Linked DNA regions of Daphnia pulex. The protein of the gene in region 2 purifies or fractionates together with the protein of the main gene of each other region. This does not show direct contact. Links are inferred from orthologs where the notes say so. Each region holds a gene or a part of one and is shown on either strand. Other genes may lie near its edges.

Region 1 (4,586 bases), on a different chromosome or scaffold from region 2:
ATGATGCCGTCGTCGTCTAACTTGTCGTAAATGGCATTTCTCATTCCCTAGACGAAAACAAAATGTGATTACCGAAGAAGTTAAAAAATTCCGGAATTCTGATCGGTTACCTGGCAATGATCGCGGAAAGGCTTCTCGAACGTTTCCTCCTGATCGGCCGATCGTTTAGACTCTTGATCTTTGTAGGATCGGAAAAAGACGGAGCGGAAGAATCCTCGTTCGACGGCGGAAGCGTTTATGATGACGGAATCCTCCTGGTTGTATCCGGTGTAGCTGAGAATGGCAACAATCGAATTGATGCCGGCGGGCAACTCTCTGAAGCGCAGGTACTCCATGGAGCGTGTCGTGACCAAAGGTTTCTGAGGGTACTGCAGGACGTGGGCCAGAGTGTCCATCCGGACGTGGAAGTTAGTAATGTACACTCCCATGGCTTGTTTACCCATGGCGCTTTGGTAAGTGTTACGAGGCGACTGGTTGTGATCGGGAAACGGAATAATCGAGGCGCAAACTCCCAAAATCATGGCCGGATGAATCTCGCAATGCGTGTACGTCGTACAGTAGGCGTCTTTACCCTGGATAAACAAAGCAAAACATTCAACGGCTGGATGGGGTGGGGTAGGGAAAGAAAAAATCAATGCAGAAAATTTACCTGGCGCAAGTCCTCGGGCGACATGGCAATCATGGCCGTCTCCTCCTCCAAAGTGTCAATGTACTCGACTACACCAGTGGCCACCAGTTCCTGCCAGCTGAAATTGATGTACTCGCGCTGTTTGAGCATGTCAACGTGGCGCTTCTTCAGCAACAATTTGCAGTTCTCGACGATCAACAATGGACGACAAATACGGCCGGCGTCCGTGTAAATTCGAATTTCACGGTCCTGGATGTCGCGCACCATCGATACTTCAGACACGATAATGTCCATCTGACGACGCAGTTTGCGCAGGGTGGCCATCAACTGCTCCGGGTCGCGATGGATACCCACCCAGCAACCGTTGACGAAAATCTTGGTGGCATCCGCAATGGCAGACGGAGCGATTTCTTCCAAGTTCTCCATGGACCACTCTTCCAAAAACTCGAGGATGGGCGACGGTTGGGAACCGACTGAAATGTAGGCCATCAAAGCCAAATTCTTGACGAGACCGACAGCAGCTCCTTCGGGCGTTTCGGCTGGACAAACCATTCCCCACAGCGTGTTGCTAAAATAGTTTTAAAAAATGTTATGTAATAAACAAAAGCCGATGAAAATAATTTGAAATCAATGACTTACTGGAGCTGACGAGGTTTGGCCAGTTTACCGTCACGACCAATGGGCGAATTGAGGCGACGCAAATGTGACAAGGTCGAAGCGAAAGTCAATCGGTTCAACACCTGAGAGACACCAGCGCGGGCCTGATGGGCTTTTTTCTGGTCTCCCCAATTTCCTGTGGCCAACGAGTAACGGAGTCCGTCGGTGATGATGCGGGTCTTAATGGCCAGTTCCAAATTGAAATCTTTTCCTCGATCGATGAATTTCTGTGCGTACATTCGGACTTCTTTCATGAGAGTTTTGAAAAGGGCTCGGAAGAGGAAAGCCATCAACGGTCCGGCGAGATCCAGACGTTTGTTGCCGTAGTGATCACGATCGTCCAGCTCACGGCGTCCCAAGGCAGCCAGCAGCAAGCGATGGACCATGTAGCCGAGGAAATAGGCTTTCTTCGTCTCGCAAAAGTCGGACACACCAACGTGAGGCAACATTTCCTTTTGGAGAATCTCACGGGCGTACTTGATACGCTTCTCTTTGGTGACACCAGGCCTGGCACCGCGAGCACCGATGAAATTCAAGGCAACATTCTGCTCCTGGATGACGAAGGCTTCGTCCAGCGAAGGTTTCACCATTTCCATCATTTCGGGGTCTTCAAAGTCGTAGATGATGTGCTCGAGAATATCTCGATCGGCCACGAAACCTAAGGCTCGGAACACAATCATAATGGGAATTTCTTGCTTAATGTAGGGCAGAATGGCAATGATACGCTGGCCGATGGCGGATTTCTTGATGCCCTGACCACCACGTGCCAACATGTTGACGTACAAGGTGGAGGTTGGACGTGACGAGTGTTCCAAGCAGGAACGAATTTCTGTCTTGTAAGCGAATTTGCCGTCCTTCATGCTGAAGACATACACTGTATTTGTGGCCATCTTCTCTTGAGCAATCAATACTTTTTCTGAGCCGTTGATGATAAAATATCCACCAGGATCGAGAGGGCATTCATTCAATTCACACAAATCACGATCATTCATTCCATTCAGCAGGCAATAAGTGGATCTCAACATGATAGGAATTTTGCCAATGAATGTTTTCTGATGCTGTGTCTCGACCTGCTCTTCCCCTTCTTTGTGCACAGTTTTCGTGATATCAACATACAACGGGGCAGAGTAGGTGAGATTTCTTAGTCTTGCTTCATTAGGCATCATGGCTGTCGGAGCACCATCTTTCTCCCAATGTGTAGGTTTCGAGAGGTAAATCTGCTCAAATTTTAGGACATATCTCGGAGGGTTTTCTACTTCCCCCGAAGAATGCTGGGCTTCTGCCTGAAGGTCAATGGCAGGTGAATCTTCAACAATTCTTTGTACAGACATCTGAATAAATTCATCAAACGAATCAAGCTGTTGTCGCACAAGACCTTTTTCATCGAAATATGCGTTGATGACAATCCAACAGGCTTCTTGCCAAAGCTCTGAAGAGATTTCCTCGCCATCTTCATCCTCGATCGGATCTTAAGTAAAAGACACGTTAGAATGAGAAAAAAATGTATGAATATCATCATATTTTGATGTTACCTTCGTCTTGATCGTACATTGTGTTATTATACGAATCGACAAATTAATTATGAATTAGAAAACGACTGCAATGTAAAGATTCGTTGGCCTTTGCAGCCGGCAGTCGACTTTCGTTCACTGTTGTCGCACTTGTCGGAAAAACTCAATTTCGACATCTGCCGGCCAAATCGAAAATGAGACGCAAGGTGGCGTTGCCGGATATATTTTAATTTCGCCGGTTTATTTAAAAGTCGGTAAAAAAATATTTTCTTTAAAACACGAAACAACTCGTATTGTGTGAGTAAATAAGAAGTGTATTCAAAATTAATTTTAACTGAATAATATAGATTACATTGAAAGACAATCCATGTGATCAATGTAAGAACAATTCTTTAAATTACTTTTTAAAATAAAAGAATAACAACGTTGTGCTAGAGAAAAGCATTTTACATCAATTGATTACTTGCCAAGAACGAAATATCTGAATTTCTGCAACGAGGGATATTGCTGGAAGTCCTCAACGCTCTCGTAGCTGTCGAAATTATCTTGATCACAGCGCAATTCGCAAAGGTCTTCGCTGGCGAATAGATTTTCAGATCCTCCACAGCCAGTGTAGAAAATCTTTTCACAATCCCTGGTAGCAGAGTCGTAGTACCACTTGATGGAAAATTGATTGCAACGCACTTTGGGGTTGAGTGGTGGCAAGAGACAAACCGGATCCAATGGTCGTTGAGCAAATACCGGTACTGGGACCGCCAATTCTATTCAAATATATTCATAAATCGTAAAAGAGCATTGCTTGAAAAAGCCCATGTTACATAAAACTAAAATTTTAGATTTAAAAAATCACTTACGAGGAGCAGCAGAGGAGAAAGCGACGAGGCAGAGCATAACGACGAACGTAGCCGACATTTTCCGGTTGAAGTTTATGGAGTTGAATGGAGCAAATGGGAAAAACCTTCTTCTGCTTTCGACTGAAGAAGGAAGGAGTCGACCGGCTGGTACTTATAGTCCCGCTAGAGATAATTACAGCCCTGCAATCGGGCATTATAGCTGGAAAAAACATGAATTTGACCTTTCGCGATGTAACCAAAATAAAAATAACCGCTTAATCATTCACCCCTAAAGGAAGAGAAAAGAGAAAAGCGCGCATCGCAAAAGAATTAAACACACACATATCGATAACCGGTTTGTACAGTTCATCATCTTGATCATTGTCTTCCTTTGAAAAATATATGCACGACATGATTGCACAATTATTTATTTAGCTCCGGGCTCTTTATATCAGAATTTCAAATGTACTTACTTAAACATAAGCTCGGAATTATAGAGAGAATTCGAATTGGCTTCGAATTTTATGTTTTCCGTTTTATTTGTATAATTTATATTGATTTGATTCATTTATTGAATTAAATTAAATTTTAATTGTAAACCAACTTGATTATATTAAAACTGAAAAAATGTATTCTAATCAAACTTCAACTGTATTTATATCGGATTACATGGGAAGTTAACAAAAAAAGATAACTGCGGATTGAGAAAAATGTCAACAATAATAAGTTGGTACAGTATAACCTGGATTGAAATTCAACAAACACATCAAACTGAAAAAAAATTATTGCACGATTGAAACAGAGCATGAAAAAAGATGTGCGTTGCAATTAATCCCAATAGCGCCCGAAGACCTCGATGCTCTCGTGACTGTTCAATTGATCGTGGACATTTTCGCAGCGGAGTTCGCAGGCCAATTCGGAGTTGAAAACATTTTCAGTGGCGCCGCATCCGGAATA
Region 2 (3,498 bases):
TTCAACAGTCTTGTTGAGTGGATTAAACTTTCAGTTTGATAAAGACGGTCTGCAATCCACTTATTCTGTTTCTTTGTTGTGATCCGGTCAAAGGCAAGTTTCGTTTTGCTATTTGACCTGCTTTTTATTTATTTATTTTTCTTTTGCTGTGTCTTCTGTTGAATCATTTGTTATTATATTAATCAACCTTTTTTTGTTCTTTTAAACAAAACAGGCGGATCAGATTTGTTACGCTGTTCTCTGCGTGTTTTCTTACGTGGCCGCCGGAAGCGAACAGCGTAAAAAGGTTGAGCCGACTTGAAAGCTCATCATCAATCGACCAAGCAACACACACCGGACATCACTTGATTCGCTTGTTACTTTTAGTTGTTGTACTTAAATGATTACTCGTTCGTTTTGTCGTACGAGTCGTCGCAATAATAATTATCTAGTCATGGTACGGTTCATCAAGAAATTTGAACCAACAGCAGTTGACAAATTTGCGTTCGAACATTCACTGTTAGTATTTGTAATTAATGAATATAAAGTTGTTTTACCCTATTGATCATATCATTTGAGCGATTGTGACTTGCGTGTAGCTATCGTGACGTGCTTATCATTGTTTTCGGGCAAGCCAACGCTATAGCTTTCAAACTCCGATTTAGAAGAAAATATTTGAAAGAATGAATAATAATAAACCAAAATTCACTCATTGAATGGAATTTTATTTATACTCTCGAAAGAAGCAGAAAAAATTCGAAATAAATCGACGTGACAAGAAGGTTTCTCAAAGTAAGGGCATCATTCCAGGTGGGTTACTGTTTGAATTTGTAGTACCGATTGAGGCTGATGCTCCTGGGTGTTCTGGACTGTGCTTCTGTTTCTTTTTCTTCTTCTCCTTCTTCTTCTTCTTGCGATCTTTCTCATCTTCGTGTCGCTTTTGTTTCTTATGCTTTTTTTCGTAGGATTCACCGCCCGAACCGGCTCCTCCCTCTCCTACTACTCCAATGCCCGGTCCAGCGATTCCAGCTCCAGTTTCTTGAATTGAGATCTCGCTACTCTTTTTGTGTTTCTTGTGTTTCTGTTTTTTCTTCAGTGGGGCCAGGGAAGAGGTTTGATACTGCTCAGGCAACTATGAAATAAAGATGTGAAAATTAAAATAACAATTATGTGATTTGCTGTCTAAAAGTCTCTTACTGGTCCTGGATGAAGACGGAATCCTGCAAGTTGAGAGGAATTCAAGAATACCAACTCCTTGCCACCGATTGGAGGTTTTTCAATGATGGATCTTAAGGATGAATTGTCTGTGTTACCAGGAGTATCAATCATGCCGGGTAATCCAGGTAAGAATGAAGATAGCGAATCTTTGAACTTTTTGCCACTGAATTTGTTGTATGAATGTTCCAAATTGTAGTGAGCCATTAAATTTGTTGCTCCGGTTAGGTCAGTATCTCCTGCGATAGATTTACCTTGAGTGAAAGAATGATACAGTCACGTAAAATATGTATACCTGGCAGTTCCTTGTGAAGATAAAATGGTCCGGTATGAACAATTGTTGGGGTCTTTCCAAGTGATATGGTGGTTTTCAGTGTTCCAGTGGAATCTTGTTGCCTGGGAACAACTGGGCTTCGATTTCCTCTTGGAGAAGATCTTGGAGAATTCGGCTCAAATCTCCGAAGAGAATCGGCCACTTGGATGGTGAATGATTCCGACATTTTTTGTCAAAAACTTTTACCCTTTTTACTCGTTAGTATGAGGTCATCGCTTGTAAAATCTCCGTATCCGACTAGACTGACCTTGGTCGAATCCGATATATCGTAGTAATTATAGATATTAATAAATTATTCAGGCAAATGTTGGATGCCAAAAATGACAATTGACAGAGTAAACACAGCAGCGAAAAAGCATAACGAAACACCAGCGCCACCTGTACCCAAAAGATATAACTAGATGCTCCTCTATGCAAATATTTTTGCCCGAGGACTTGAATTGGCCAAGTTGGCGAGAGCACGCTTTCAAAAGTCAAAAAGTCACACGAGGTTTAGACTCAGTGGCAGTTGCTAGGGTAGATAGTTTTGTGTCCGCCTCGTGTGATTTAATGGTGAGTTTAATCACAATTTTTTTCAATTTCCGTCTGGTAATAGTATCAAACTGTTGATGTATATTTTATTATTCATGTTATCAAAAAATATCTATCTAGCCAGAGGTCGAATTCAACTTTCGAATTCGAGTTCGGCGTCCTTCAATAGTCTCAAGAAAAGTCAGAAAACTGGCTGAAGGCAGAGGCTGTTTTTTAAAAAATCCTTATCTCATACTCCCTAGTGTATTGTAGAGGGTTTTTTAAAGGCCAGACTCAGCTTTTCCAACCCAGTAACCCAGCCCTTTTTTTGTCTGTCTCAGAATTGACCCTAGGGGCGTTGATGAAAGGACCGGGTCGTCACCCTTAAAATATAGTCGTCCTCTTTATTCTGGAACCACAAGTCGTGATGTTACGAGGATAGAAAACCTACCTTCGCAACCGTGATAATAAGAACTCTGTTTCTCCAAAGGTAATTATTTGTATAACCTAGGCTTATTTCCTTTTAAATATACAATACAATTCGTATCTTTTCTTTACCTAGATCGTTCATTCCGTTTTGTTCGTTACACGTTAGTAAAATTATAATTCTCAACATGGATGGAGTCACAGCTTATGGCCTTTTGAGGAAATTCCAGCAATTGCAAGAGGAAAGGGTCCACACCTACAAGATTTTTCATGAGTGAGTTACAATGTTATTTAAAAAATTTCACATGAGGTAATTTTTGCATGTATTGTTTCTTTCCAGAGGGCATAAGATTTATCTGAGCACTGGACCAAATTATGACTTTATCCAGTTTCGTACACTTGTTCAAGACATAACTCAAGACTTTAAGCGAATCTCAGAAGAAATAATTAAAATTGAGTGCCAATTGAGAAACATGCAGCCTGAACTGACATTGCATGTTATCAAAGTGCAGGATTATGAGAAAAGGCAGCTGGAACTGGTAAAAAATTATTAAAGATTAAGATTTAAAGATTTATTAAACTTGTTGATTTTCTGTTTAGATGGCTCGATTGCAATTGGCTAAACAAGAGTTGCAAGACATGCAACATATTGAGGATGCTGAAAATGACATTCTCATGCGTGAAGTGCATCACTTGAAGAAAGAATTGGCTGTGGTTCAAGACAAGATCAATCAAAACATGGAAGCTGTTTGTTACCAATTGGCTGATCTGATGTAATTTTTATTTTCATCACTGAAGATTATTCTCTTCCCATATTTGCATTAACCTGTTGACAATCTAAAGAAATACAGCATCATAATGCTTCTAACTAAATGTTGCATTCTTAGTTTTCTATTTAACATATTTAAATTCTTGGCAAGTTAAGTTTCAAAACTAATAAGAGGAATGTTAAAATGCAAAGTTCTCTAAACCTCATTCCACATATTCTTCTGATGAGTATCACCAAGTAATGCAGGAAGATCATAAGGCAGCAT

What was found.
Region 1: the proteins of mediator of RNA polymerase II transcription subunit 19-like (region 2) and DNA-directed RNA polymerase II subunit RPB2 purify together in Homo sapiens (affinity purification with mass spectrometry; 4 studies listed by BioGRID and IntAct, with this or other methods). This does not show direct contact. The link is inferred for Daphnia pulex from reciprocal best matches to the Homo sapiens genes MED19 and POLR2B.

What each region holds. Positions count from the first base shown.
Region 1 is NC_060022.1:1,080,811-1,085,396, reverse strand, and holds the start of DNA-directed RNA polymerase II subunit RPB2, read right to left. Parts: upstream 2,988-4,586; 5' UTR 2,837-2,987; coding exon 2,818-2,836; intron 2,754-2,817; coding exon 1,268-2,753; intron 1,197-1,267; coding exon 650-1,196; intron 573-649; coding exon 111-572; intron 48-110; coding exon 1-47. Other genes in the region: kunitz-type protease inhibitor 1-like, read right to left, coding at 3,256-3,557, 3,651-3,708. UniProt on the Homo sapiens protein: Catalytic core component of RNA polymerase II (Pol II), a DNA-dependent RNA polymerase which synthesizes mRNA precursors and many functional non-coding RNAs using the four ribonucleoside triphosphates as substrates.
Region 2 is NC_060023.1:10,280,052-10,283,549, reverse strand, and holds mediator of RNA polymerase II transcription subunit 19-like, read right to left. Parts: upstream 1,912-3,498; 5' UTR 1,695-1,911; coding exon 1,490-1,694; intron 1,449-1,489; coding exon 1,177-1,448; intron 1,112-1,176; coding exon 767-1,111; 3' UTR 684-766; downstream 1-683. Other genes in the region: MAP kinase-activating death domain protein-like, read left to right, coding at 215-301; required for excision 1-B domain-containing protein-like, read left to right, coding at 2,653-2,738, 2,805-3,003, 3,065-3,241. UniProt on the Homo sapiens protein: Component of the Mediator complex, a coactivator involved in the regulated transcription of nearly all RNA polymerase II-dependent genes.